Rhinolophus ferrumequinum: one gene and its partners. The protein of the gene in region 1 purifies or fractionates together with the protein of each later gene. This does not show direct contact. Links are inferred from orthologs where the notes say so. Each region holds a gene or a part of one and is shown on either strand. Other genes may lie near its edges. The genes, in order: IKBKB, FKBP5, SRC and RIPK1.

Evidence for each region.
Region 2: the proteins of IKBKB (region 1) and FKBP5 purify together in Homo sapiens (affinity purification with mass spectrometry; 3 studies listed by BioGRID and IntAct, with this or other methods). This does not show direct contact. The link is inferred for Rhinolophus ferrumequinum from reciprocal best matches to the Homo sapiens genes IKBKB and FKBP5.
Region 3: the proteins of IKBKB (region 1) and SRC purify together in Homo sapiens (affinity purification with western blotting; 3 studies listed by BioGRID and IntAct, with this or other methods). This does not show direct contact. The link is inferred for Rhinolophus ferrumequinum from reciprocal best matches to the Homo sapiens genes IKBKB and SRC.
Region 4: the proteins of IKBKB (region 1) and RIPK1 fractionate together in Homo sapiens (co-fractionation; 3 studies listed by BioGRID, with this or other methods). This does not show direct contact. The link is inferred for Rhinolophus ferrumequinum from reciprocal best matches to the Homo sapiens genes IKBKB and RIPK1.

Annotation. Positions count from the first base shown.
Region 1 is NC_046287.1:58,290,591-58,298,113, forward strand, and holds the start of IKBKB (inhibitor of nuclear factor kappa-B kinase subunit beta), read right to left. Parts: upstream 3,010-7,523; 5' UTR 2,873-3,009; intron 2,213-2,872; 5' UTR 2,195-2,212; coding exon 2,090-2,194; intron 1-2,089.
Region 2 is NC_046286.1:5,717,701-5,725,363, reverse strand, and holds the start of FKBP5 (peptidyl-prolyl cis-trans isomerase FKBP5), read left to right. Parts: upstream 1-4,658; 5' UTR 4,659-4,789; intron 4,790-5,163; 5' UTR 5,164-5,319; exon of another isoform or gene 5,320-5,385; intron 5,386-5,539; exon of another isoform or gene 5,540-5,562; intron 5,563-7,663. UniProt on the Homo sapiens protein: Immunophilin protein with PPIase and co-chaperone activities. Component of unligated steroid receptors heterocomplexes through interaction with heat-shock protein 90 (HSP90).
Region 3 is NC_046306.1:18,599,364-18,606,483, reverse strand, and holds the start of SRC (proto-oncogene tyrosine-protein kinase Src), read left to right. Parts: upstream 1-4,112; 5' UTR 4,113-4,296; intron 4,297-7,120. UniProt on the Homo sapiens protein: Non-receptor protein tyrosine kinase which is activated following engagement of many different classes of cellular receptors including immune response receptors, integrins and other adhesion receptors, receptor protein tyrosine kinases, G protein-coupled receptors as well as cytokine receptors.
Region 4 is NC_046292.1:90,729,970-90,737,296, reverse strand, and holds the start of RIPK1 (receptor-interacting serine/threonine-protein kinase 1), read left to right. Parts: upstream 1-4,314; 5' UTR 4,315-5,185; exon of another isoform or gene 5,186-5,198; intron 5,199-5,390; exon of another isoform or gene 5,391-6,312; intron 6,313-7,327. UniProt on the Homo sapiens protein: Serine-threonine kinase which is a key regulator of TNF-mediated apoptosis, necroptosis and inflammatory pathways.

The DNA of each region.
Region 1 (7,523 bases):
CATTATGTGAGGCACGCCAAATGAGTGGAGCTCAAGGCATTCAATGGAGGAACTAATTCCCACGGAATGAAGGAGTCATGACAGGTTTATGGATGAGATGGTCGAGAGCTGATCCCAGAGGAATGGGTAGAATTTAGATAAAGCTGTCCAGGAAAGAGAGGCTTGTCCAAGAGAGGGCTCAGCCGACACACCTGTTGGGAGCCAACACGGGGCGCCAATGCTAGAAAGATAGGAGGAGGCCAGACTCTGACGGGCCTCCAACGGCAGGATGAGGAATTTGGCATTTGGCTTTTTAAAAATAAGTTTAAAGTTTTGAACAAGGAAAGGAACTTGAAATGAGTAATTCTAGAAGAGTAATCCACACACACACACACACACACACACACACACACACACACACACATTCTTAGGCCAATCTATACAGCCAGAAATGAATTCTACCCGACAATGGTTTTCCAAACCCAGAGGGCAGGTGGCAGCCATTATGAACTAAAGATGACAGACAAGGAGATGGCACATTTGGACAGAATTCTTTTGGAAGGAAACCAGGATGGCTCTAGTTCAGCTGCAGCAAGAAGTTAGCCATGGTCAGGACTCTAGAAGCCCTTGCCTGCTTAGAAGCAGCCGAGCCCAGGTATATGTGGAGCTGTGGAATGAATGATCTGCCTCTTCTGTTGCAATGCTAGGCCCCTGGCTATACTCTGACCAGGATAACTCTGAGCCAATGGTGTTTCTAAGGCCCCCGTACGCCAGGTATAGGTTTGCTGGAACCCCAGTCTACCAGTTGGGTGTGAGAATGTTACTGGAGGGCAGAGTACAGTGCGGGCTGGCCAGTAGCCTTGATGACCCTCCCTGCTCACCGCAGTCAAATTCCCGGGATGGCGTGCAATTTGCCATTCTTTCAGTCCAAAAAGGTGCTAAGCAGCTCTTAACTAACAAACAGGTGCCTTTCCTCAAGGACTTCGGTAGGTCTGAGTTTTGAGTCAGGAAGCAAATTTTGGCTCTTTGGTGAGTGAGGGTTCCCTAGAGCAGTGGTCTCCAAATTGGGTATGTGCACCCCAAGGGTATCCAAGACTGCAATCCACAAAGACTTAAAAAGAAACTAAGCTTTTCTGATATTAACTGTATGGCACTCTCCTCAGGTCATTTGTCAGAAGGTCACTTGCCTCTTCTGGTACTCGAGGTATCCTGAGGAAAATGGGCGTTCCATAGGCAGGGGGACAGGGGCCGATGGGGACATATTGCAGGTCATGTGTGCCCCACTCAGGTAAAATTATGGATTGTATTATTCCAATAAAATAACTCTCATAAAATGGACAAGTGGCTTAAAAAGATTCTTGCAGAGAATTTTAGTATGTGTAACACCTGCACAAGCAAACAGGAAGATGGAAGAACACGTCTAGTGTGAGAAACTCAAGTCTAACACGTAAGGAGTAAAAACAACGAGGCTCCAATCAGATCTAAAAAGAAACCAGTGCAAATAATTCAAAATTATAAAAATTATTTTAAATACGGATTTTCATCTGTATTAAATACGATATCCTCAAGAATAATCCTCACTTTCACGTGTATCTGTGTATTTTGTGTTGTGAAGTATTGCAAACAATACTGGGAAGACATCATAATTGGCAAATATTTAAAATGTAAAACAAATTTTTTTAAACATTTAAAAATATTTCATTACCCTCATCCTTTAAATTTTTCTATTTTTGTATGTTTTATAACATGTGATATATTAGTACACAATACACTAGTACATGATAGTCTAATGTTAGCATAGATACATAACTTAAAATATATATAATTGAGGCTGGAAGCTGAACATTTTTTTTACTATTTAATAGGTGGCATAATCAATAAAGCTCGGAGACCACTAAGCTAGAGTCAGCTTAGCAGCCCTGAATCCCCTTCACTGCTCCCCCTTCTCATTCTCTCCCAAGAAGCGCATGACCAAAGGTGAGACCCATTCACCCAGCCAGCACACTGCACATTGTGGGGTAGGCAGAGGCAATGGTGGGGTGGGGAGAGCCTGTCTTCCCCGCCCCACCCGCGCGGCCCATGGCTCTTCCCATCAGCACAGAGCCCCTACCTGATTGTGCCATCGGATGACGTTTCCAAATCCCCCTGTTCCAAGCCGTTCTTTCATTTCCCAGGCCCCACATGTCTGGGTTGGCAAGGAAGGTGACCAGCTCATACTGATGCTGTGCTAACTCTGTAAGCAATTTGGGGTGGGGGACAAAAGGTTATGGTTAAGAAAAAATGGAATTCAATGAGATGGAGAAGGTAAGCGATACCATAGAGCTCCAGTGGAAGAGAAAAAGGAGAAACTGAGGTTTTTATTTTGTACATAAACCAGTTTGGTTTGTTTTTTGGTTTTGGTAGCAAACTTCTGGCTTTCTCATCTTTCCCAACCCAACCTCAACCTTGTGTAAGCAAGCAGGGAGGGAAGTCACTCAAAGGAGATGATACCCCACGCCCCATTGCCTCGAAATGGGATTCTCCAGCCTGGACTCCAGCAAGGGGAGACCTGCCCTGCCATTCTGCCCAAGGTGGCAGAGAGAGAATCTATCTGAGTTGTCCCACGGTCACGTGTGTCTTCACACAGTCCGAAAGAATCACAGCTCTCTCCCAAAGCCACCCACTTCCAAGTATCCACCTGGAACCACCCCGCTGGTGGGGCCTCCCAACTCCAACGGCACAAGAGAAACAATTCCGTGCCCAGTACCCCCCGACTTTTAAACTCGACAGAAGTTTTTTCAAGAGCCTCAAGGGAGGCGGGAGGTACGAGCCTGCCTGGGCGAAGGAGACGAGGGGTCGGCAGGTGACACGGAGGCCCCGGCGCCCCGCGGCCCGCGCCCGCCCGAGGACTCACCTGTCGGCGGGGACACGGGGCGGGGGAACCGGGGCTGGGGCGACAAAACTGGGGGCTCTGGTAACACCCCGCAGACATTAAAATACGGGAATCTTAAACATGCCAGCCGAGCGCTACTTCCTCAAACACTTCCTGCTCTGACGTCACGGACCACGTGGACCGCGGCCGGCCCTTAAAGGGGCCACAGGGCCGCTGGCCCAGGCCACGCCCCGTGCCCGCGGACTGTGGCGGTGCAATCAGGTCGGTACCCTGAGAACCCCGCGTTCAGGTGACTCCGGGATGGATGCATGTGGCTTCTAGACAATTCTAATCGAAATTAGGCAGGCTATGCCCCCGGAGATAAAAGAACAGCCCGAAAACAAACCCTAATACGCCAGAGTTCTCTTTAAGTAACCGGCCTGAAGCGATTTCTAGGACAGAGGTGATGGGGATTTCCTCACCCCAGTCCTCCCGTAGTGAACTTGACCCCTCTTCCTAGATTTTTAACTAGGTGGAATTTCCCGCGCCCTCGCTAGGATTGATTTAAGGACTGTTTACAAGAATTGGCTTTGGCCTCCTGGCCTCATGCTGTGCTCCCCTGGTCTGGAGGTTCTTTGGCTCAGCATCAAGAATGATAAATCACAACTTTACTCCTTAGAAGTGACAGCTCCCTCTCCCCCCCTAAGAAAATAAAGAAAAAGGGGTGGGGGCGAAACCTAGTAGTGCAACACTAAACTGCCCGTGTCAGCCCCAGTGATGCAGAAAAATTGAGAGAGGCTCTCAGCCCTGAGGTTTATTGTTCATCTCCTACCTACTCGGCGTTGGAATAAGGTCTTTTATAATAAATAGCTTCTCAGATCTGTGGCATTATGTTAAAAGACAAAGGAGTTGTGTGTGTATGTTGGTATATTTACTCAAGCAGGAAAAAGTATTATAGGGAACCTGAAATGATAATAGCTACTTTTATAGAGCTTACTAAGTGCCATGCACTGTCTAAACTATGTACTTGAATTTCCTCATTCAGTCCTCAAGGCAACCCTACCAATTGGACAATACTGCATTATCATTATTGTCTCCATTTTACACATAAGAAAACTGAAGCACGCACGGAGAGGAAAAGTCTTTATCGCAAAATCACAGGCTAGTAAGTGGATGATCTGATAGTCAAACCCCAAGCAACGGTTCTTGGGCCCACACTCTTAGAATTTGATTAATAGTAGCTTACTAAGAAGTTCAGAAGGAGGCCAACTGGATTTGGAAGCCAGATACTACTATTACTGACGACCTCTAAGAAACTAGGGCCAGTTACTTAACCACTCCAGGCCTCCATTTCTCTTTGTTAAACTGTAGGCAATATTAGATTGAGTTACATGAAATATTTTTAAGACATTTTTTTTGAGTCATTTTTTTAATAAGACAAAAGCAGTCAAAACATCAGCATCAAACGTCAGCGATTTCATTTGGTTCAGCCTAAAAGCAACAGAAATATAGGAGGGCACACGCGTCAGAGAAAGGAGGCGCCAGCAGTGTTGTTGTGAAGGACAGATGAGGTCATGGCAGAGCCATGCTTGACACACAGGACACTCTTGCCTGAACAGAGCCCAGAGGCTGAAGTTAATTAACTCTCAGGAATTATGTCACCCCAAACAGATCGACCAGCAGTGCCCAGTGCCACCCTAGGCACTGAGGCCTGCCCAGGATTTCTCAATTTACCCTATGGTCTCTGCTAAACAGCACACTCACTCAGCCTCAAAGCAGGAAGAGAAAGGAACATGAGTAAATAGTTGTAAAACACTTAAAATAGTGCCTGACATATTCTAAGTGCAACATAAGAGTTTGTTTAATAAATACATTTTTAAAATAAAACCTATTTATTGAGCTCCAATATGTGCCGGTCCCTATGTAGAGTCTATCTCCTATATGACATCATAAAAGATTTCATTTTAATCCTTTCACCTCTGAAAATCACTGTCTCTGAGAAACTTAGCTAAATATCCACAGATAGGCCATAGGCGTACTCTGTACTGCTATAATTTAAGAGTTCTCATTTGCTCAGCTCAAAGTAACTTGTGTTTCAACTAAACATAAATCTCTCTGATAAGTCATATATTACTAGATTTTAAAAAAATGATGGCTCAGGAAAGGGTCACTGGGTTTTATCATGTCCCAAGATATTAATCAGCTTAAGCCCTGTTTTCCTTCCAGATAAAACATGTCTACTGTCTACACCTCTGGTCTCTATCCTTCTCCAGAGATGTGAGCGGACTGTTTACAAAAAAATGTTTATTCCTTTTTCTTCCTGTTTTGAGGCTGAGTGTGTTACTTAGCAGTAACTATAGGGTAATCAAGAAATATGAAGCAGTGCGAGTGCCTCATAGAGCCCTGGGTACTGCTGACTCAGGGGATCCAAGCAATATAACTCTTTTCAGAGGCACCTGGAATCTTACTGGGGCCATAAGACTCACAGAAAGCCAACAAATGATGAGAGATAAGGATCAGGTAATAAAAAACCAGTGATAACTAGTTCTGCTGTAGAGGCAGTATGGTATTAGTGGTAAGGATAAAGTTTCTAAATGGTTCCTTTTAAAATAAAATCTTTTTCCCAGGGTAAGTCAAAGATAACTATCCTCTTACTTAGCCTTTTTGTGTCATCATTTGAGAAAACTGCTCTCTCACCTATTAGCAGCCAGTCAAAGCAGCACTGAGTTCCTCTGAGTGAGAAAAGGCTTGTTTCCAGAACAATCTGGGAGCTGACTCATAGTAAGAGAAGCCAACTTAAAAGATTAGAAAGCAATTTAACAGACCACTCAGGATAAGGAGGATTTCTTCAGCACCCCAGCACCCAGAGGCAGCTCTAGTTCAGTTACTTCAGCAACTCTTTTATTATTCTTCCAAGTTTATTTTATCCCAGCCCTGCAGAAAGAGGACTTTGCAAGTTAGGACTTGCTCCTTCAACAAACAAAAATTCTTCTGCCAGAAAAGTTGGAAAACTCGTTTAGTTGGAAGACATGAAGAAATCCACTTTTCTTCTAGGGGAGTTGGGAGGAGTAGAAGGTGGAGTTGAGCTGGTGGAGACTGATGGTGAGAATGAACTTGGCCCCAGATCCTTCAGGACTCAGTGCAGAGCTGGCTGCAGAAGAGTAAGGAAAGAAAAGGCAGCTAACTTCTATCTCTGTGAATGAGACCTGCCAATGGTGAGTCTTTAGAGGAACAGGGCCAGCCAGGCCATCGTGCCTTAAACCTTGGATAAAACACTGAAAGCTGAGGATTTGGGGCCCTGAGGATTCTCCCCAGAAGAATGATAGTTTGAGGGAGGAATGATAGCTTGCACACTCTCTTCATGTTTACACACAGAGGTTTTTCTTCTAGTAAATTCAAATTAAAGTGGAAGAAGTCACTAAAGGACAGCTGCCCATTCCTTGGCAGTGGAGGCAGGAAGACCACAGATATGCGCTGGGTGTATATGTTTATATCACCTGGAAGGTATGTTTCTTAGCTCACATCAGTTCTGAGCTGCTACTTTGGTCCATGGAAGCAGGGATTTTGTTCACTGTTGCATTTCTAGTGCCTGGTACATCAAAGGTATTCAATAAACACTTCCTGGATGAGGGACTATAGTCAGTAATATTGTATTAACTATGTATGGTGTCAAATGGGTACTAATTGGATGATCATTTCACAAGGTATATAAATGTCTAATCATTATTTTGTACACCTGAAACCAATATAATACTGCATGTCAACTGTAACTAGAAAATAAATTTAAAAAACAAAAGAAAAAATTTTCATGAATGAATGAACGAATGAGTGAATTACAAAGACTGGGGATAACTGCACTCTTTAGCTCTTGGATATAGTGGTCCCTGGAGTCTGAAAGACATGGGTTCTAATCCTGGCTCTGTTTTCTTGGCTCTGTAAGCTCTGGCAGTTTACTAAATCTCCCCAAGCCTCAGTTTTCTCATCTGTAAAATGGGATCTACTAAAACCTACTCCTCATGATTATAGGGTTTAAGTGAGATTATGTACATAAAATGCCTAGTACAGAGCCCTCTTTGAATAGTAGTTATTAATGCTGTTATTTTTTAAAAGCAGTAATCCAGAAGTCAGCTGAGATCCCTGTTCTTTGTGATCCCAGTGACTGGGCTCAAACCCTCCCCACTTACAGTGAAAGGCCCAGTGCACTTTCACCTTTCACATCTCTTCAGGAATTTGATGCAAGAGATGGTGATGTGTGATGGTGAGTGAGGTGGGTGGTATGTTTTTTAGTTACCTCTGATTCTGAGCTCCTGTTTTTGCTAAATCCTTAACCGCCCTTTCAAAATAGGTCCTCTTCTCCACCACAACTGGCTATTTTGTCACCACACTCTGTTCTAGTCCCTCAGAGCGCTTATCACTACTTTTTTGAGTTCAGCTTTTTATTGAACATGTTACAAAAGAGGGTTAGTGAAAAAGGCCAAAGCCCATGTCATCATCAGACCCCTCACATTCTTCTTTCTTTGCTTCTACTCTCTTCTCCTGTGCTGGGGGCTGTGGGGCAAGAAGGAGCAGGACGTCCTGCTGGGCAGGGCCAGCAGCCCCCACGTTGTAGGTGAGACGCCCAGTGTTGAGGTTGGCCAGAGCCATTGCAAACTAGCCTGGCCACAAAGATTTAGCATTTACACTGGCTGCTGTA
Region 2 (7,663 bases), on another chromosome or scaffold:
TGATAGACATTTAGATTATTTTCACCTTTTAGCTATTATAAATAATGATATATACATTGGTGTACAGGTATCTGTTTAAATCCCTGTTTTCAGTTCTTTTGGGTATATGCCTAGGAGTGGAATTGCTGGACCATATGGTAATTCGGCGTTTAAGATTATGGGAAGTGCCATTTTCCACGGAGGCTGTAATATTTTACATTCCCACCAGCAGTGCACAAGGGTTCCAGTTTTCCTACATTACTCACCAACACTTAGTACCCTTGTCAAAAATCAGTTCACCAAAGATATGTAGGTTTATTCCTGGATTCTCAATTCTATTTCTTTAATCTATATGTCTATCCTTGTGCTAGTACCAAGTGTTGATTTCTTTGAGTAAGTTTTGAAATCAGGAAATGCAAATCCTCCTCCTTCTTTTCTTAAATATTGTTTTGGCTATTCTGGGTCTCTTGACATTCCATGTGAATTTTAGAATCAGCTTGTTGACTTTTATAAAGAAGTCAGCTGGGACTCTGATGGAATTGCATTCAATCTGTAGATCAATTTGGAGAGTATTGCCATCTTAACAATGTTAAGTCTTTTGATGCATGAACCTGGGATGTTTTTCCAATTATTTAGGTCTTTTTAAATTTCAATAATGTTTTCAGAGTATAATTAAATTTATTCCTAAGTATTTTATTATTTTTGATGCTATTATAAATGACTTTTTTTCTTAATTTCATTTTTGGATTGTTCATCGAACTTGTACAGGAATACAGTTGATTTTTGTTGTTGCTCTTGAATCCTGCAACCTTGCTGAATTTGTTCATTAGTTCTAATTGTTTTCTAGTGCATGTGTTCCTTAGGATTTTCTACATACAAGATCATGTTATCTGTGAAGAGAAATGGTTTCACTTCTTTCTTTTTAATTTCTATTTCTTCCTAATTGCCCTGGCTAGAACCACCAGTACAATATTAAGAAGTGGCAACAGTGGACATCCTTGTCTTGTTCCTTATTTCCTGAGGAGAGGATCCAGTCTTTCACCATTAAGAATGATATTTGTTTTGGATTTTCGTAGATGCCCTTTATCAGGTTGAGGATGGCTGCCTGTTTTTGTAAATAAAGTTTTATTGGAACACAGCCATGCTATCCATTTACGTATTGTCTATGGCTGCTTTGTATTACAATGAGAGAGTTGAATAGTTGTGACAGAGAACATATGGCCTATAAGCCTAGAATATTTACCATCTGGCCCTTTAAGACAAAGTCTGCTGACATATGTTTTAAACTGCTAAATTTTGAGGTAGTTTGGTATGGAACAATATACAACTAAAATAATTCCCCATCTTTGACTGGGACCTCAAAGAACTGAAGCACTGAATAAGTGGGATCCATAAATAAACAAATGATCCCACAGACTATCGTCCACCTTCAAGTCATCTGGGAGACTCAGAAATCAGAAGTCCTGAAATTGGGTTAAGATGATCCTAGCTTACTGGTGTCCCCAGATGCCTGCAGAAATAAATGGAAATCCTTTCCAGAGGAAGATATTATCATCGTTGCTGCAAATGATTTTTTAAATACAAGGTCCAAAACATAACCAGGTACATGATGAGCTACAACGACATGAGGAAGAACCAGTAGTAAAAACTGACAATGGAAGCTGACCCACAGGGACTCCAGATTGGAATTAACAGGCACAGACCATAAAACAACTATTCTCACTATGCTTAAGGAGAGAAAAGCCAAGCTTGACCACTAAAGCAGGGCACTAAGAGATATAACAAGAGACATAGCAGATCTGAAAAAGAACAAAATAGAAATTTTAGAACTAAAAAAAAATAGAATAATCAAATTTAAAACCTTAATGGATAAGTTTAATAGGAGAATTTTTTTTTTTAAAGGCTGAAGAGAGAATTAGCGAACTGAAAAATAGTGAGAAGAAACTTTTAGAACAAAGCATGGGAGGACAAAACATAGAAAATACAGAAGAAAGGGATGTAGTGAGAAGGTCTAACATGTGTTTCAATAGTGAGAAGGTCTAACGTGTTTCAAAAGAGGAAAAGGTACAGAAACAGTATTTGAACATGAGAGTATAATAGCTGAGAATTTTTTCAAATTGATGAAAAACTATTCAAAAGGTGACAGGCAGCTGTGAAATGACAGATATCCACTCTATCACGAGTTCTGACTCTTAAAACAGTATATCTTTCATGTGCAGATCTGCCTTTGAAAGGATTCTGAAACCAACATGGAGGTAGCTTCGCAGCCAATGGAATAGGGCTCGGGTGAGCTGAGTTCAAGTACAAGCTATGCTACTTCCTAGCTGTGCCACCTGGAGAAGGTTGTTAAACTTCAGTTTTCTCAACTAATGAATGGGACTCGTACTACTGGCTACCCTACATTGCCATTGCGAGTATCAAGTGATACAGTACATATGAACAAACCTAGTGAATGCCAAGTGCTTTAAAAGTGAGCTGTGGTTTAAGCAGTATCGCAAGCATTGTCAGGGACATTAGCAGTGACAGGTAGGACTGGCTACATAATTTGCAGGTCCCAGCACAAAAGGAAAATGTAGGGCCCCTTGTTGAAAAATGATTAAGAAATTCGAGATGGTGACAGCAGAGCATTAAGCGAAGCCCAGGTCACATGCCCACAATGCCAGCCTTGGTGACAAACCCTGCAAAGAACTGCTCTGTGCCTTAGCAAAGGGCTGGTCAGCCCACACCCAGGTGTCTGCAGCCATTGACCACATTATCTTTGAATTCTGAAGAGCAAGAGCAATATTTAGGGAAATCGCAAGCACACATGTTTCCAAATGCTGAGGAGGGCAAGTGCAGTAACCGGAGTGGTTGTCTGAGAGTGGGTGGGGCCAGCCAGGCTGCCATTGCAACTGTGGAACTGACTGTTCCCCACAGACTCTAGCCTAGAAAAAAATAAAAAAGCCTGCAGCTGTATGTACAGGGCCTGCTGTTTGCTGCGGTGTGTTACAACACAGCCTGGCAGCCTCCCGGGCCTTTCTGTCTTCCTCCTAGAAGAGCCTGGTCCCAGAGCAGATGACATGGCCACACAGCCCTGCAGTTTTGCCCCCAGTGCTCTTTGCTGTTCCCTCAGTTACTAGGCTTTTCCAGATCTGTATTCTTTCTGTTCATGTTCATCTCCCCTCACCCACCCCAACCCCACTGGGAGTCCCTTTCCTTCGTCCACATTCCTCCATCTGGTAAACACAATCTTTCAAGACTCCATCTATGAAGACACAGATCTAGTCTCACCTCTTCAAGGAGGCCTTCCCTGCCTCTCCCAGGAAGAGCTGATTCCTCCCTCCTTGGAGCCTTCCATTGTGCCCTATGCGGGTATCTGTCACAATCCCTGTAACATGAGGAGCACTGACATGTACTGTGGATGTCACTGTCTCGTAGGCTTAATCCCTCAAGGGCTGGGACAATGTTTGCTCACCTATGCATGCCCTGTACATAGCACAGTGCTTAAAACCTGCTATTAGTAAGCATAGTAAATGCTTAACCTATTGGTGATAGTATGCAGAGTAGTTTTAATCACCATTGTCTTGCTGAAATGATGTATGAATAAATTGTTTCAGTGACTTTCCCAGGCATCGGGTAAAAAGGGAAACTTCTGGGCCCCGAGACAGGGCCCTTGCCCTTGAGGTTTCGGTGTTGGCTCTAATTGTCTTTCCTACAGGCACCACGTCTTGAAGGCAGGTCTAAATGACCAATGTGATGCAGAGCAGAGAGCAGATTTGGAGCTAGGAGACAGGGCTTTTAATCTGGCTATGAGACATTAGGTTTCCACAGGTAACTACCGTATGAAGTCCCATTGCTATGGGGCTCAAGGTTTCTGTTTCCTCAAAAAACGAGGGGGTTGATCTAGTTATTCTGCAAGGCCCAGGAATGTCTATGGGAGCAACTCAGAGGTGCCCATCTCCTTGGAGGGGCCTGGGACCCTCCTGAAGTTGAGTTTGCTCAGCAGGCCTATCTTTTGGGAGCTGGGTGGTGATAGAAAACACAAACATTTCTTAAGGTCCTTTGCTGTTTCAATCGCCTGGGATCTGTTTGAAAAGAAGAAAGCCATGGGAAAGCATAGTCTTCACAGTTACTGAGAGTCCAGACAGAAGTGCTATGTCTAAATTGGTTCTGGAAATGGGATTTTCCCAGTCCCAACTGGGCAACATTGACTTCCTGGGGTTGTTTCCTGGGGCTAACCCAGTCTGCTTGTCTGACACAACAGCCTGGCCTGTTCCTCTCCATCCTACCGGCAGGCCGGTTGGACAAATAGGAGAGCAGAGATTTCAGAGACTGTTCGGATGCGAAGTCAACTAGTTTGTTCAAGCATTACTTTCTCTGGAGGTAGTGGATGGTGTATGTGTGTTGGGGGTGGGCGTCGGTCAGTTTCCTCCAGCCCTTCCCTCCTGCCCCCACAAAGGGCTAGGGCCAGACACGTGGGCTGGCGTGAAGAGGCGGAGGTTACACTAAGGCGGAGGTGCAAATGGACGGGGGCGGGGCCTTATTTGCATGGACGGCGCGCGGCCACCAATCCGAACAAGCAGAGCAACAGCCCGCGCGCCTTTTGGGGGCGGATTGACAGCTCCAGGGCCCAATGGAAGGCGGGTCCTGCGGCAGGCAGGGGCGGGACGGTGCCGGGCGCTGCCCCGGGGATTCGGCCGGCTCGCGGGCGCTGCCAGTCTCGGGCTGCGGCGTCCGGTGCGCGGGCGGCCTGCTGGGCGGGCTGAGGGGCAAGCGGTGGTGCGGGTGAGGCAGAGAGAGAGACGGAACCGACGAGCAGCTGCTGCGACAGGTATCGGCGCCATGGCCGCAGGGATGGGGCGGGCAGCTGCGGTGCCCGGGGAGCCGAATCCCCTCCTTCGCGCTCCGGCCGCCGCCGTTCCACCTCCCCGCCCCCTCACGCGGCTCCCGAGCCCGGGAGCAGCTTGTCTGGGCGAGCGGGGCCCGAGAAGCCTTGAAGCCAGCGCGCCGAAGGCCCCCAGCCCCACTGCGGGGCCCCTTGCGCCACGCCACGCCGGGCGATGGGGCCGTTGCTCCCTCCGGGAGGCGCGGAGCCGGGCGGCAACGGGAGCCGCTCCCCTCCCCTCCGCGCTCCCCCTCGCGGAGACGAGGCTGGTCGCGCCTGCTCGTCCTCACCCGGCTTTTGTTTCCCGCCGGGGTTGACAGGTCCCGGCTTCGGCTCCCGTCAGCGGTCTCAGAATCACCCGAGGCCCGGCACCGGTGACCGCAGCCGCCCAGAGCTGGCGGCGCGTGCACCCCCGCCACGGGCGGGAGAGAAACTTCGCCTTTCCCGGCCTGGGCGGCGGGAGAAGTCGAGCAGGGGTGAGCCGTGCGCCGGGACGCCGAGGGCGCAATGGAGCCTCGCTCACCTGGTGGGGCCCGCGGAGGGTGAGGATAACGGAGTGTCCGGCTGCTGCGCTCCTTGCTTAGGTTTTCGCTGCCCGGGCGGTGGGTGCGGATGCGCGTTCACCGCCTTCACCTGCCGCCCTGGGACGAGTGACTGGGGACAGCATCCCCGCTCTCAGGCGCTCTTGGAGGGTGCCAGCGCAGCGCCCATTCTAACAGGTGATTAGTGCCGGCTGAAAGCCAGTTAAAAGTTGTTTGAGGGTTCCTTATTCATTCAGTTCGCTCCTGGGACGTTATAACGCTTTCTCCCCAATTGCTGTCTAAGAAGGTGTACTGCCGACTGTAGGAATCAAACTCAGTTGACTGTATAATCAAACTCAGTGTTGATTATAAAAGAAAAATTGGTGTGTGTGTGTCTGTGGCGGCGGGGGTGGGAGGACGGTCAGTGTAGAATGACCTCTTTCGATTGACGAGCCAGGAGGAACATTTTAGTCTCATTTTAAAAAATCGGTTTCTGTAGTGGTGGGAAAAGCATAGTAAGGTACAAGTTGTAAATGGAGAACGCAGAACTCTAGATAGCCTTCAGTATGGTTCAGGACAGCGTGTACGACGTTTGGCCGCCATTCAGTAAATTCTGCACGAAGCAGTTTGAGCTCGTGGTTTTGGATTTACTTTTCAGGAGTATGTTTTCCAGTGGAATAAGGCTTAGCATTGAATGGGAGCTTTCTTTGCCTCTCTGAGGGTAGATAGGAGTGTTTATTTTCATTGCCTTCCCATTTTGTTAGATTGTGGACAAGGGAAAAAAAGTTAAGGCAACATTTTGGTTATTTTTAATAGTCGATGGAGTTCCGTGCGGCCCCTCCACCCAAGGGTTTTTACTTCAGAAAATTATGCAGATTTTTCTCTTGCTGTTTGAATCAAAATTCAAGGATAGTCTTAAAACATTATTTTTGTGGGAAATTTTCACTTGTCATACTTTCACTTATTTTCTCTTTGTCTCTTTCCTAACTGACTTCCATTTAACAATCTGCAATTATGGTCCTGACCAATTTAGGGCATCTATAGAAAAATATATTTTAAAATAATATAATTATTTTTAAAAATATAAAATATATATTTTAAATTAGGGTTGTTAACATTCATTTGTGAGAAACACAATTTTACTCGATTGTTTTCTAATGTGACTTCTTTTATATTTGTCTTGGGTATGATTTATACATAATAGATTAAGTTTAACATCTTAAGAACAAAGTTACAATTTTGATTAATTATGCTACCTTATTAGTGTTTCATTGAATGATTTTACTTATTTCCCTAGCTAATTAGTAGCAATATTTAAAGCTGAACTCCAACCAAGAGGCTTGTTGTGACTTTGGGCTTAAACAACAACAAAAAAATCAAAGATGGTCTTTATAAAATGTTTTATTTCTCTAAAATAACAAGCTTATATGTTGTGTCTTTCATCTTAGTAAAACAAGTATGTTTCTGAATCTTTAATTTTTTTTTTTTTTTTTTAGTTTTTGGGACTTTGCGGTTGGTGTCTTTTTATTGTTCATTTTTTAATTTTTATAAAATTTGTTGGTGAAATTGGTTAGTAAAATTATATAGGTTTCAAGTATACATATCTATAGTACTTCATCTACCGTGTTTTCCCGAACATAAGACCTAGCCGGACAATCAGCTGTAATGCGTCTTTTGGAGCAAAAATTAATATAAGACCCTGTATTATATAAGACCCGGTATTGTATTATATTATACCCGGTTTTATAGTAAAATAAGACGGGGTCTTACTAATTTTTGCTCCAAAAGACGCATTACAGCTGATTGTCCGGCTAGGTCTTATGTTCGGGGAAACGGTATATATTGCATTGTATGTTCACCACCCAGAGTCAGTTCTCCTTCCATTACCATATATTTGACCCCCTTTTCCCTCTTTTACCACTACCCCTTGAATGTATTTTTTTAAACATAATTTTAACCAGTTCAACATAAAAAATTTAAAAAATAATGGATTGGGCAATTAATCTTAATTTTTCTGTTTTTTTTCTTGGATTGGAAAAGAATAGGTATCTTCGGTTATTTTTAGTTTCCTAAAGTTTTCTTAGCTTAGAAGGAATCAGTCTAGAGATGAAAGAACATCCTCTTTCTATCGCTGTAGAAGTTATTATTAAAAACTGAGGTGGCTTTTTGACCCTTAGGATAGATTGGTTGAATGGTGGCTTGTCTTCATGTAGGATGGGTTTTATTCTATATAAATAGTTGTAAGGAATCTTACAAGTCTAGAGCTCTCACTAGTCTAGTTATGGATGATTTATATAAT
Region 3 (7,120 bases), on another chromosome or scaffold:
TTTGGTCCAGTTTGGCCTCGTTCCCTGGAACCCAGGTATGTGCTCACATACACATCCAACATAGGGTCCTCAGCTGTGGCTGCCATCAGTGTAGAGGCGTCCAGACTGCACCTCCCTCCTCCTGTATCTCCCTCCTGAAACTCAGTGACAGCACATCTCCCCAGGCCCTTCTCTGCTCATAACCCTCCATGGCTCCCCACTGCCTACAGCATTTAAGGATCTTCAGGGCACACCCTTGCCACCCTTCCCATCGTGCATTTGCTCATGCCGTTCCCTCTGCCTGGAACACCTTTGTCCCATTGTCGCCAGAAGCCATGTCTTCAGGCTTCTACCCTCTCCACAAACAGCCTCCTTTCTTCACCAGCCCTGCACTCCAACACACAAACTGTGTTAGGGGCCCGTTGTTTGGGCCCCTCAACCCCCACGCTTGCCCAGCCACTGTGCCTAGTGCACTGGTTATGCTTCCCTGCTCCCCCAGGCTGTGAGCAAGTCCAGGCAGAGACCAGACCTGGCTTGTTCGCTGCTGTATCCCTAGCACCTAGCACAGATGCTAGCACACAGTAGATACTCAGTAAATATTGACTGACCAGAGGAAGGAAGTGTAAGCCTTAGTCAGAGGCTAGAGGGTGGGGAGAATTCCAGGCAGAGGGACCAGCAAGTACAGAGGCCTCAGGACGTAATGAGCTGCTGTGATGGCGTGAAAGCAGGGAGGCAGGCTTGATAGAGGAGGGAAGGGGACCAGGGCCTGCAAGGGAGGCCTAATTGGCTATCAAGGGCCAGATCGGCTGGTGCACTTGACAAACTGGACATCTCTGTATAAACTGTAAAGTGCAGGGCTATGGGAGGTGGCAAGCTCACTCCTCAAGCTAGAGCCTGCACATTCTTTCACCCCATCCTTTAGGCCTGAGCCTGGTGGCTTTGAATAGACAACTCATAGCAAACCATTTGGGGAATGACAAGGCTGGTCTGGAATTTCCTGCTGAGTGCCAGTGTTGGGTCCAGCTTCCTGGTCACTGATCTGAGGGTGAGCTGGGCTTTGGGTGGGTGAGGCAAATAGGCCCCCATCAAACCAGAGCCACTAGGGCCCTGCGTGAGATGCAGGCAGCGCCCCTGATCCCATGTCATGGGAAAGCTCTTACCGAAGGGTCTGCTGCCACTTGTGTGAACCCAGGCCTCACTCCACACTTTCCATCCTGCTTTGACCCAGGTGGTGGGAAGGAGGGAAGAGGTTTCTAGAGACTGATGACAGTGTTCAACAGGTGCTCACCATTGCAAGCAATGTTGACATGAATATCCGTCTTCTGCTGGGTGCTTTGGTTTGGGAAATTGCCCTTTCTGGTGTTCCAGGCTTGGCCCAGGGCTGTGTATACCATTGTAGTCAATAAATATTTGCTGTCCATTAATGATGATGAATGATTTGTAGGTATTAAGCAATGAGTTGCTGTTTTACTAACAAGGTTTTAAGCAAAATAATGCACAAAGAGTCACTTATCCACTAGGCCAGGCCAGCAACTCTTGCATTTGCATGATCCTGGGAGTTGGTGGGGTCATTGTCCCATTTCACTGATGAGTAAACTGAGGCTCAGAGAGGGAAGGGTCACACAGTCAATGAATGAAAGCGTTGGAACTTGAACTCTTGTATGTGACTCCCTAGTCAGTATGTTCTCCCCAGCCAACTGGGCAGTGTCTGCTCTATGCTGGGCACAGGCCAGGCCGTAGTCCCTGCCCTTAGGGTGGGGGCAGACACACCCCAAATTGATGGGGTTTGTCGACAAGCATGTCCTGAAGGAGGTGATATTTACTCAGGAACTTGATGTTGGGAAGCTAGAGATATGGGGCGAGCATTCCTGGCAGGGGTTACAGCCTGAGCAAAGGCCCAGAGGGAGGATTAAAAATAATGAATATTTCCAAGGCTCAATAATAAAACCATTGTGTTGGCCACATCCTCCTGAAGTGTCTCCTGAGAATCTCAGCCACTGAGCCAAGCCCTTGGAGCCAGTGGTGGCTCCAGGTGGAGGGCTGCCTCTGTGCTTATAGAACCAAGACTTGTGGAAGTGGCCCCCGCTGCTCCAAGAGAGTATGGAGGGGAGTGAATGATAACATGGGCTCAGGCATACCGAGCTTACAGCACCTCATTTCATCCTCACACGAGTCTTCTGAGAGAAGCACTATCTGTAGCCCATTTTGTAGGCTGGCATACTGAGGCTTAGAGAAATGGCATGCTTAAGGTCACATATCCAAGAAGTGGCAGAGTTGGGATTTAAACACAGATCTGTAGGTCCAAAGTGTGCTTTTAAGCCCTTTGTCATCCCCGCTATAGGAGCCCAAGACTTTCAGTTGAACTCCTGGAGATGAATCTAGTGATGTGCTAGTAAATATTTAACGACCAGCTCTCTGGAAGGGAAAAAAAAAGCCTTAATTTGCAGTGTTTGCTGATTTCCAAGATGTACATGCTTCCACGGTGACTGATATCAACTTACCAAGGTGACGTCATTGATCTTGGAGTTGAAAAGACATGAACACAATTTGCTCTTGCAAATGGCAAGAGCCAGCTCCGTCACACCACTGGTTGAATATCCCACTCCTAGCCCAGTGTGGCCAGGAAAGACCTTCAGACACGTCTGAGGAGTGAATGAGGGCTGAGAAACCTGCTCCTCCAGCCAGGAGCCCGAACAGAATCCTGGGAAGCTGTGGTTAATCTGTAAGCCAGCCTTGCAAACCCGTGCCACCGTTTCACCCGCCCGGGATGGTTTCTGGGGCCGGCTCCCCTGCTGACTTGGAGCCCCATCTCCTCAAGTCTTGGTTTTACCACCCTACCATTTGGTGGGCACAACCTTAGTCAATCCTCACCCTTGTCAGTTTTAACCTCCCTAGGAGTCCTCTGGGACCATGTGCATTCCTGTGACTTGGATAAGGTGCAATAGGTGGGCAACTAGCCTAGATTTGAACCCAGATCAGTCTGGCTCAAGGCCTTGCTGGTCTCTTGGATGCTATTGTGTTCTCTGAGGACTTTGCCTCCCATATTCTAGGCTTCCCCGTGCAGCTTCTCTCAGGAGAAGTCTAGGCCAGGTGCCTTTTAACCTGGCTGGCCCTTAGTTTCCCAGGGGTGAAATGGGGGAACTTTCAGAGAAGGTAAGTGGAGGCAGGTGGTAGTATTTAAGGCTGGCTTCGGGCCCATCTTCCCCGGGGTCATGATTCCAGGACGACAGGTGAAGAGCCAAGGTTTGGGGTGCTCTAATAGGGCAGCTCTGGAGCCTGGGCCAGGAGGTGGTGGGAGGAAGGTGGGGTCAGATTGTGGTGGGGGCAGGCTTCGTGGCTAAACCAGCATTTTCTCAATGTCTGCTTTCTCTGCTATATTCCCTGTCCCCAGCATCCGGATGTACTTTGCCTCTTTATTTACTTAAAAGGGCAATTGTCGGTAAAAACCCGCTTTAGCCCCCTACTCAGTAAGAATATCCAGAACTCGATGGGCTGCCTTAGTTACTTTTTAAAAAGCACATTGAAATGAACACGTATCTATTAAAATAAGTGTTCTCCTCCTCACACTGTCCCTCAGGCCCCAGGCCCCACTTTGGGAAACAGGTCAGGACCAGAGTCCGAAGATAAGATTCTTGTAGGTGACCCCCTTCTCTGTGTCTCAGTTTCCTCATCTGTAAAATGGAAATCATCATCCCCCAGCCTGGCTGGTTGCTAGGAGTGGAGCCTAAAGTCTACCCCATCCACTTAGCATGGCGCCTTGCAAGGAGTGAGCGCTCCATTAGTGCTGATATTATTATTATTATTATAACTCATACTTATAGGAGAGGTGGATTTAGGGTAGATAGGGTGGGTAGGTTGGGGGTAGTTAGGAAGGGCATTTTGGCATGAGGGTGGATGGGGTCTTCCAGGGTGGGGCGTCCTCACGGGGCGGGGTGGGGGCGGGGCTCCTGTGTCCGGGGCCTCCACTCCCCAACCCTCTGCCTCATCTGGACCCGTGGGGTCGCGCATGGGTATCTCCAGAGTCACCGGCGGGGAATCTGTCCCCGCGCGCTTCCTCCTTCCTCCTCCTCCCGGCGGCTTGCCGGGCCCCTCCTCCCTGCTCGCGCTCTCCCTCCCTCCTCTTCCCCTCCCCTGGTCGCCGCCTCCTCCTCCTCCTCCTCCTCCCTTTCTCTCTCGATCTGTCTCTCCCGGCCCGGAATCCATTCCGGCCTGGGAGCCGGAGCGGCCTGGCCGCCGTCTGCCCGACCCCCTGGCCGTCCTGCGGTCTGCCCTCTGGTGCGTCTGTCTGCTGGTGCGCCCGCCTGCCCGCCGGCCCAGGTGAGCTCCCCCGCCCCCCACGCCCCTCCGCGGCCCCCAGGTCCCGGCCGGTGTGGGGGATCCCCCGCCCGGGGACCACCCTGGCGTCGGATCGCCTGGCCACAGGGACTCCAGTCCACCCCCCAACCCCCACACCCCCCGGCGGAGCCCCGATCCCGGAGCGGTGGGCGGGCGCACGGGGATTTGCCCAGCGCGGCCTTTTGTTGTGATGCTAAGGGGGAGGGGGCTGGGTGGGGTGGGGGACGCGGGGTCCTGTCCGCGCGGGGACCTCCTCCGGCTCATCCTCCTCCTACGAGCCCCCTGAGATCAGTGAGCCGGGCCGGAGCCCCCAGGCCGGGTGTAGGCCAAATCTGAAATCTGAGCCAGTCGGCGCCACCTCCACCCGAGGCAGCTCGGCCTGGAGCCCCCGGCCTGGGAGGGGAGGTGGAAAGGGGTCCGACAGGGTGGGCCTGGGAGCACCGGGCCCAGAACATCCAGCCTGGCCCCAGGACTTATCTGTCCTCGTGTGGCTTTGGGTAGGGCCTGGTGCCACCGGGCTAGAACGGACTGGGCCAGACTATGCTTGCTCCCTCCTGTCCGTCCACAGCCCCCAGGCTCCCCCCTGGTCAGGCCCAGCAGCCTGCCTGCTCAGAAGTTGGCAAAAGTTTTGGGTTTTCGCCACCAGGCTTGGTCCATCTGCCTGCCTGGGCTGGTGTTGGGGTGGGTTTGAGTCTCAACAGGGCTACCACTTGCCCTGCTGTGTGTCCTCAGACAACTGCCTGCCCTCTCTGAGCTGGGGGTCTTTATCAGTGGCAGGTGGGCCTAGCTGGAATTGCTGGGCTGGTGGAAGGATGGGGGTGAACAAAAGGAGTGAGCCTCAGTTCAGTGTCTGGGGCCTTCAGGCCAACTTGCGCGTGACAGAGCGTGTGTGTGCCTGGGTGAGGCTTCCTGAGCTTCAGGGACTCTGTACAGTTGGGGCAGTCGTCCCTGAGTGACCTGGGGTGAGTCCAGGCTCAGCCACCGTGAGCTGAGACCAGCCTTGGTTTTACGAATGGGCCATGCTGGTCCTGTGGCTGACCCTCTTCTCAACCTCCTGACTGGGGAGACAAGACACATTGGCTTCTCATCTCACTGGGTGACCTGGGCCAAGGGACTATCCTCTGAGTCCCCATATGTGGAATGAGAATCCTCAGGGGAAGAATCTATGTGTTTCTGCATGTAGGGGCTTGGCTTGTTGTAGGTGCTTAATAAGTGAGTACTTCACTGGATAAATTGTCTAAACTGGGTGGGAGGTGAGGTTGCTGGCCCCAGTGGGGCTTATCTCCAGAAGAGGATGAATTGGTGTCAGAAAAGCTGCTTCATAACTCCTTGAAAAAGAAACAGCTCCAGTGCAATCCTGCCACCCGGCAGCTGTGTGACCTTAGGCAACTCACTGCTCGTTCTGGCCTCAGTTTTAAGTATAAAATGGGCCAACGAGAATGATAGCTGCTAACGTCTACAGAGCATCTCCTGTGAGGGAGAGACTCTTGCTTATCCTCATTTGGTTGATGGAGAAACTGAGGTGTAGCGAGGGCAAGTGACTTGACCAAGGCCACAGAGTTGGAAGCTGGAATGAAAACCACCTAGACCTCAGAGACTCCACTCCGGTTGCCCTTGCAGCCCTCCAGTGTTGTGGGGGCAGGGGTTTCCCAGTATGGGACCAGGCATACCGCGGTGTCGGAAAAGACTACACTGATGAGTGAATGCGTGGAAGCCACGAGGCCTTTTTGGTGATGTGGTGTTCCTTAGTGATGTGATTTTTCCACCCAGGGCAATGATTTATAGTGTGTCACCTCTCTCAGCTGACCGCCTGCCCAGGCCCTCCTGCGTGGTCCCTGGGTCTTTGCTCCTGAAGGTGTCCCTGCCCAGAGTGCCTTTTCCTCTAGGAGCTGCTTATCTGCTCTTGTCCTTGAAGGCTTAGCTTAAGGCCCACCTCTCCCAGGAAGGCCCCCCAGCTCTCTCCTGTCCTCTACTCTGTTCTTGGAGCATGAATTATCCCTAGTTCACAACCAGTTCCTGCTTTTGCTTCTTCCCTGATTGTGACCTGGGGTGGGGTTGGGGGGGTGGTTGTCTGGCTTTCCCAAACCCCAGGAGCCAGGGAGGAGATGGCTCAGAGGCCTGCTGACAGACTCCGCCCCGTGGTCCTCACTTGACCCCGTTTTCCCAAACCCGCCTCAATAAAGCATTCATGACCCCGTATTGGGCACCTACTATGTATGTGCTAGGAGCTTTGGACTCAGGCTGAGCAGTGTGGTGATGGGGTTAGCAGTTGGAGGGAGGCATCGGGAAGCTTCCAGGAGGTGGTGCTGAGGGCAGCAGCAGTTCACTTAACAAAGAAGGGTATAGGGTGCTCTTTCTTCTCTTCTGCTCAGACACTTCCCAGGGTCCCTGGGGTTGTGGGGAGTGGTCAGCCTGAGTAGGCCCTTGCTGGCGAATTGTGAACAGGTCCCTGGCCTCCCAGAAATTTGAGTCTAGAGGGTGAGCCAAATAGCAAACAAATTGTCAAATAAATGAATATATCATCATAGATGTGATAAGGGCTCAAAGAAAGGTGTGGGATACAGAGGAATCTTAAAGGAAGCGAGTAGGAGATGGCCAGGCATGGAGCTAGGGGAAGGGCTTGCCAGGCAGAGGGAACTACATGTGCAAAGGCCCTGAGGTGGGGGAGTGTATGCTTTTGTGGAGAAACAAAGGGAAAGCCTGTGAGTCTGGAGCACAGAGAATTAGGAGGATTGGGTGAGAGGTGAAACGAGGGGTACTAGCAGTAGGGCTTGACCATGTGGGGCCGTGTGAGCTTTGTGGAGGA
Region 4 (7,327 bases), on another chromosome or scaffold:
AAGTTGTGGGTGCCAGACGTTTTAGGTTTTTTCTAGTTTCCTTTTTTTCTCTCTCCTCTGCTGTTTTTTTGTTTTTCTAAGAGCTCTTTCATACAGAGTTGATATCTTGTAGGTCTTTCCATTTAATCCACTGTTATTATTCTGGAACCCCTTTGATGTAGTGGTAATTTGTGAAGGAGGGAAAGCATTTTATAATCTTATGATTAAATCTCAGCCTTTCCATTTTAAGTGGACTGATTTTCCTTCTCCCAGATAGATAACACTCTGGTAAAGTTTTTTCCCTGGGAGAGCAAGTCTTTGATATGTTGAACTCTTGGGATGTATTTCAAAATGGTTTCTTCCCCCCTCCCACTTCCAAAAACATGAGAAGATTTTCACTGGTTCTTTACCTTGAGAATTTGGTGGGATTTCTGATGGTAAAATCCATGAAAGTGTATCCATCCCTGCCCCCAAGTCTGAGCCCTTAATAGTTTCTCACTCTCAAGCTAATCAACTCATTCCCCAGAAATTTACCAAAATTACCATTTAATTGTTTTACCAGTTCATTGTCCCAGCAGTTTCTGCTCCAGATATGGTGATATTAGTTGTGATTGCCCATATTGATCTGTCTACAGATTTCAAGGTAGACGTTTGCACTTTGACTTCAATTCTCTGTTGAGTCTAAACAGAGATTGGTTGATTTTCAGTTTGTTTACCTTTTTTCTTGTTGTAATTATAGGAGCAATAACTTCCATTTTGTTTACATATGGAATTGAAACTGGATGTGCCAATCAAGTTTTAGCAGAGGTGAAAAGGCAATTCAAAGGATAATCTTTACAAGAAACTGTTAGAACAATTGGATTATCTGTATTAATAAAAAAAAAAACTTGATCTAAATTAAACATCATGCTTTATACAAAAATTGCCTCAAAATAAGTCATACTTCTAAATGTAAAAAATAAAGCTATAAAATTTCTAGAAGAAAATATAGGAATAAACTTTATGACCTGGGCTGAGATAAAGAGTTTTTAGACATGACATCAAAAAAAAAAAATCTATAAAAGAAAAAAAAATTGATTTGAGGAGCATTAACATCTTAACATTGAGTCTTCCAGTCCAGAAAGAGGGAAAATCTGTTTATTTATTTAGGTCTTTTTTCACGTCTCTTGGCAGTATTTTGTTCTTTTTTTAGAGGTCCTACATATTTTTTACTGTATTAGTTGCAATGTTAATGCTATTGTAAATGCTGATGCTCTTCTAACTTCATCTTGTATTGCTTCTCGCTAGAAACAGAAATACAAATGATTTTTAATATCTATCTTGAATCCAATGACCTTACTAAAGTCACTTATTAATTTTAGGTTTGTTTTAAATTCCTTTGAATAGTCTACACACATAATTATGTCCTCTGAAAATAATGACAATTTTATTTTTTCCGTTTCAATATTTTTATGTTTTGATTTTCTTTTCTTGTTGCAATGGCCAGAGCTCCTGGTACAATTTTGAAGAGAAGTAATGATAGTGGACTTTCTTGTCTTGCTCCTAATTGCAAAGGTAAGTGCTTAGTATTTCATGGTTAAGTATAATGTTATCTATAGGTTAGTGTAAATATTCTTTATTTAATTAAGAAAATTCTATTCTTAGTTGTCTAAGAGTTTCTATCATGAACAAGTCTTGAATTTTTATCCATGCTTTTTCTCGAGTAGGTTATATGATGTTTTTTCTTCTGTAATGTGGTGAATTACTTTGATTTTCAAATGTTAAACTAACATTGCATGTATGGAATAAACCCTAGTTGGTCATGATGTATTATCCTGTTAGAGAGTCACTAGATTCAACTTGATAATATCTAATTTAGGATTGTTTGCCTCCATGTTAATGGGATATATTAAACTATAATTATCTTTTCTGGTGCTGTCCTTGTCAAATTTGGCTACCAAAGTTAAGGTGGTCATATTAAAAGCTTTTAGGAAGTTTTCTCTTTTTCTCTTGTCTAGAATAGTTTATGTAGGATTTGCATTATTTCATCTTTAAGAATAGTTTATGTAGTATTTATTACCAAGGAAGTCATTTGGGTGTGGAGTTTTCTTTGATTTTTACTGATGCATTCAATACAGGACTATTTCAGTGTTCTATTTCTTCTTCAATCATTTTTGACAAGTTGTATTTTTCAAGAAATTTCTCTAGTCCCTCTACAGTGACATAAAAGTTCGTTATGTCACACTGTTGTCATTATAACATTAATGACATAAAATTGTTAATAATTATCCCTTATTTTTTAATCCTTTTAAATTTTGTATAATTTTTGTTTCATTCTTGATAATATTGGTCTCTCTCTTTGTCAACAGGGTCAATCTTGCTGGGGGGTTATCACTTTTAATCTTTACAAATGGCCAACTTTTGTTCTTGGTTAATTCCTCTGTTGTATGATTTCTATTTCAATGATTTATTTTCTTAGATTTATTAGAAACTTACGATATTTTTGTTGAGTTTAATTTCCTGTTTTTGCAACTTGAGATGAGCATCCAAATAATTGATTTTCAACCTATCTTATAATATATGCATTACAAGCCAGAAATATCACTCTAAGAATGAAGTTGGCTTTATCTTAAAAAAAGTCATCCACATATTTATTATCATTTAGTTAAAAATATTTTCTTGGGACCGGCCCGGTGGCTCAGGCGGTTGGAGCGCCGTGCTCCTAACGCTGAAGGCTGCTGGTTCGATTCCCACATGGGCCAGTGGGCTCTCAACCACAAGGTTGCCAGTTCGATTCCTCTACTCCCGCAAGGGATGGTGGGCTGCACCCCCTGCAACTAACAATGGCAACTGGACCTGGAGCTGAGCTGCGCCCTCCACAACTAAGACTGAAAGGACAACTTGACTTGGAAAAAAAGTCCTGGAAGTCTTGTATCTAGTACCTGCTTGGCATATGGTAGTCAGAAATGTCTGCTAAATGAATAGGCCTCTTTCATTGTATACGTGTAATTTTATTGTTTACAGCAGTTTTAGTTTCACAGCAAAACTGAGTGGAAAGAGCAGAGTGTTCACACATATTCTACCCTCTCCCCAAAACAAAACAAAAAACACAGCCTCTTCCACCATTTTGCACCAGTGTGGTACCTTTGTTACAATTAACCAACTGACACATCATTATCAAGCAAAGTCTATAGTTTACATTTGGTTTCACTCTTTTGTACATTCATGGGTTTAACAAATGTATACTGTATTCACCATTATAGTATCACACAGAATAATTTCACTGCCCTAAAAAATCCAGTGCTCGACCTATTCCTGCATCCCACCACAAAAACCTGAGAACCACAGATTTTTTTTCACTGGTTCCATAATTTTGTCTTCTCTAGAATGTCAGTTAGAATCATATATTATGTACCTTTTTTCAGATTGCCTTCCTTCACTTAGAAATAAGCATTTAAGATTCCTCCATGTCTTTTTGTGGTTTGATAGCACATTTCTTTTTAGCACTGAATAATATTCCATTGTATGGGTGGACCACAAGTTTTTTGCCCATTCATCCACTGAAGGATAATATTGGTTGCATTCAAGTTTTGCCAATTAGAAATAAAAGTGCTATAAACATTTGCATGCAGGTTTCTGTATAGATGTAAGCTTTCAACTCATTTGGTGAATATCAAGACATGTGGTTGCTGGATCATATGGTAGACTGTTTTTAGCTTAAAAAATAAAACTGTCAAACTTTCTTCCAAAGTGGCTGTACCAATTTGCATTCACACCAACAATGAATGAGAATTCCTATTGTTCCACATCCTCACCAACATTTGATGTTGTCAATATTTTGGATTTTAGTCATTCTAACAGGTGTGTAACGTGGTACCTATTATTTTTTCAAATTTGCAATTCAATAATGACCTATAATGGTGAGCATATTTTCATATGCTTACTTGCCATCTGTATTGTCATGTCTATTAGATCTTTTGCCCATTTTCTACTTGGGTTGTTTCTTTTCTTAATTGTTGAGTTGTTTTCAATATACAGTTGACCTTTGAACAAGAGTTGGGGGTGTGGGGCGCCCACAACCTATGCAGTCCAAAATCTGGGTATAACTTAAGTCTGCCTTCCAAACATGAAAATACAGTTGAAACTTGAACAAGGCAGGTTTGAACCGCGTGGGTCCACTTAAACACAGATTTTTAAAATACCCCTGTATGTGGACCCGCGCAGTACAAAACCGCTTTTTAAGGGTCAAATGTATTTTGAATAATAGTCCTTTATCAGATATGTCTTTTTCTTTATCAGATATATATTTTGCAAATATTTTCTTCCAGTTTGTGGCTTCTCATTCTCTTGATTATATAATATATAATCACGCTGTGTATTATTTGCTTTTTAATACAGAACTGTATCAAGCTTTTCCCATTTTTCTTGAAGATTTCCCAATCATTTCCCAGCCATTTTAAAGGGCTGGAAAATAATAGCACATTTCTCCCTGCACAGCCCCAAAGAGCAGATATTATTATCCCCCCTTTACATGTGAAGAGAGGTAAGAGAATCGTAAATTTGCCTGAGGTTCAAGCGCTGCTTAACCTGCAGAGCCCAGAAGTCCCTGGGAGACCTACCCAGTGCTGTTTACTCAGCTAAGCGGCCTCTCCCTCAAGGCGGAGGTTTCTAGGACTAGGCATCATTACCTTTTCTTTGGCCTTCCAACTCTTTCAAATAAGTAGAGCAGGGATTCTTTGGCTGACAGATCTTGGGGACCGACGCCCCCACGGCCGCAGGGCGGGCGCCCTCCCCATCCTCCTCCCCGGCAGGAGGCGGAGCGAGCAGTCCACGCCCCTCCGCCGCCGGCGCTTACTCATTCGTCGCTCTGACGGCGGGGACAGCGGACAGGCCTCCCCGAGCGCAGGGGTCCTGGCTGGCCCTCACCTCCAAGGGCCAACCGCGCGGTCCCAGCGAGGGGAGGGAGTGCGAACCACTCGGCTGGACGCGCGCGGCGCGGCGGGGCCGACAGAGCCGGGCGTGGTGAGCGCGCGGCGGGGCGGCCACTCTGCGTCCCGGTCTCCCCAAGCCCGCTGAGCTCTGTACCCGGTGACCCGCCCCGCAGGACTCGGGCGTCCTCCCGCGGCGCGCCCCAGCGAGGTGGCGGCGAAGTCGGTGTCATTCCTGAAATTCCTACCGCTGCTTCTTTCCTCACTCAGGCCTGGGGAAGTTTGCCGCGGAAACGAAAGTAAATAACTCGGGTGCGTCTGCGCGGTAGCAGTGGCAGCGCCCGCCAGATTTGGGACTCTGTCTGCTTCTGGGCAGGCGGGCGGGGCTTCCTGACGGGGCGGGCTGTGGGCGGAGAGTGGGCCAGTTGGGTAGTGGGTGGGGCGCTTGGCATTCCCGGAAGTTGGTCTGTGAGTAAAGCTGTTGTGGGGATTGACCCGGGAGAGCACTTTCCAGGCTCTGGGCCTCACGTGGAAAGGTGTTGTCTTGGTTAGTAGATGGCCATCAGCTGTAATCAGATGGCCATCTGCCTTGGCTAGGTGTCCATTAGTTGTTACTGGTTAGCCCTTAGTCGTTAATACTACTGCCGTGGCTATGCTGGCAAGGGGGTTGCTTGGCAGAGAAGTGGATGGCAGGTTGCCGCTAGCCAGTGTGGTTAGCAAGCGGACTGTGGATTGCGGATCCTGTTGATCCTACTTCCTGTGTCTCCCCTGGCCGCCAGGGAGACAGGATTGCAGGAAGACCCTCTCATTGGGGTACTGGTGGATGTTTGCTTTTGTGTCTCTGTCAGCCGCCAGCGAGAATATAGTGGTATGACTCCCCTATCTATGGCTCCGTGGGTGTTCTGTTTTGGCCTCACCGTATCCTGCGTTCTTGTGTGGGGAGCGGGACCAGAGTCCCTGCATTATACCTGTCGTATTCCCGGAAATCGGGTGGTGGATCCAATTTCCCCTGCACCTGTTCGGGAGGACGAGGTGAGCGGATGCCCCGCAGCAATCTGGGTCTTGTACTCAGTTTTAAAATCCCAGATATCTCTCAGCCAAAGGAGCCCATCTTTATTTTGTTTTAAAGGAAATTAGGAGGACAGAAGAAAAGAGGAAATGTTACCCAGTCCTAGAAACCTCCACCAGAGTTCCGGGAAATCAGGTGCAGAATTGTTAACTGTCCAGGTCTCTGTCGCTCTCAGGCTTGCGGGAGGTTTCGGTGTAAATCCGTACTAGAGTGGAGAGACCTGACCTCAGGTCACTAGAACCGTGTGACGTAGGAACACACCTTTCGTTGTTATTATCTTTGTTGTTTTGGTAGGGGTGATGGGTTTCCATTGCTGTAGCTTTCCGGTACAATCATGGATGCCCTTGCCATAATAGGGTAAGTAGATGTCTCTAGTTGGGACTTCTTACCAACCTTTTGAAAGTACATTTTACTGTTGCATTTGAGGCCGTAGCGGGTTGCAAACAGTGAAAAGCATTAATGCGTAATCTTAGACGTGAACTGGCAAATGGAAAAGAAGGGTCTACAGCCGCATTGACAAAAGGGACAAATGTCGTAACGCGTGGAGGCCTCTTCCGTGGTTAGTGGCGTTTGCTTTTATGAAATGCTGCAGAATCTTTTCAGGGTTTAGAAGAGGATTAGCTACATCCTTCTCTCTTAAGCACTTGACAAAAGCCCACAGGAGTGGGTGTGTGTTCATTTCTTTGTGTCTTGCTGATGTTTTGTCTCTTCCTTGCTCAGAACTCTTGTTTATCTTGGACAAAGCCTGAGGCTGTTAAAATCAACCAACTTTGCAGAAGTTTTTTGGTCTTTAAACCACTACTATTAATTCTTCCCTAATTTACACTTGAAGAAATCAAAGCTCAGAGTGAACTTTGGAATATAGAGTGACTTAGTACTTGATTTGCATCTTGTAATCACCAGGTTGGTACAGTAGTAACGAAGATATTATGGTCAATTAGAAATGTACACCTGAAGCTGAAGCTGAACAATATTGAATGTTGACTACAATTTTATATATATATATGTATATATATATATATATATATATATATATATATGGTTACAAGAAGTGGAGTACAGCATTAGGAATAGAGACAGTGGAGATGTAATGGCTGTGTGTGACGTCAGAGGGGTAGTAGATGGGGGAAGAGGGGTTGTCACTGTGTGAGGGACATAAATGATAAATGTCTAACTATTAGATTGTTTTGTGCACCTTAAAGTAATAAAAAAGATGTTAAAAAAAAGAAATGTAGAAAACTGCCTTTTTCTAAACAGAAAATGAAGACTAAACTTGCTTCAAACAGAATTTAGAACTTATTATTACTGATAAAACAGCAGTAACAATTACTTTAATTTTCATTTTCCTCTATCTGCACTATATTGAGCACTG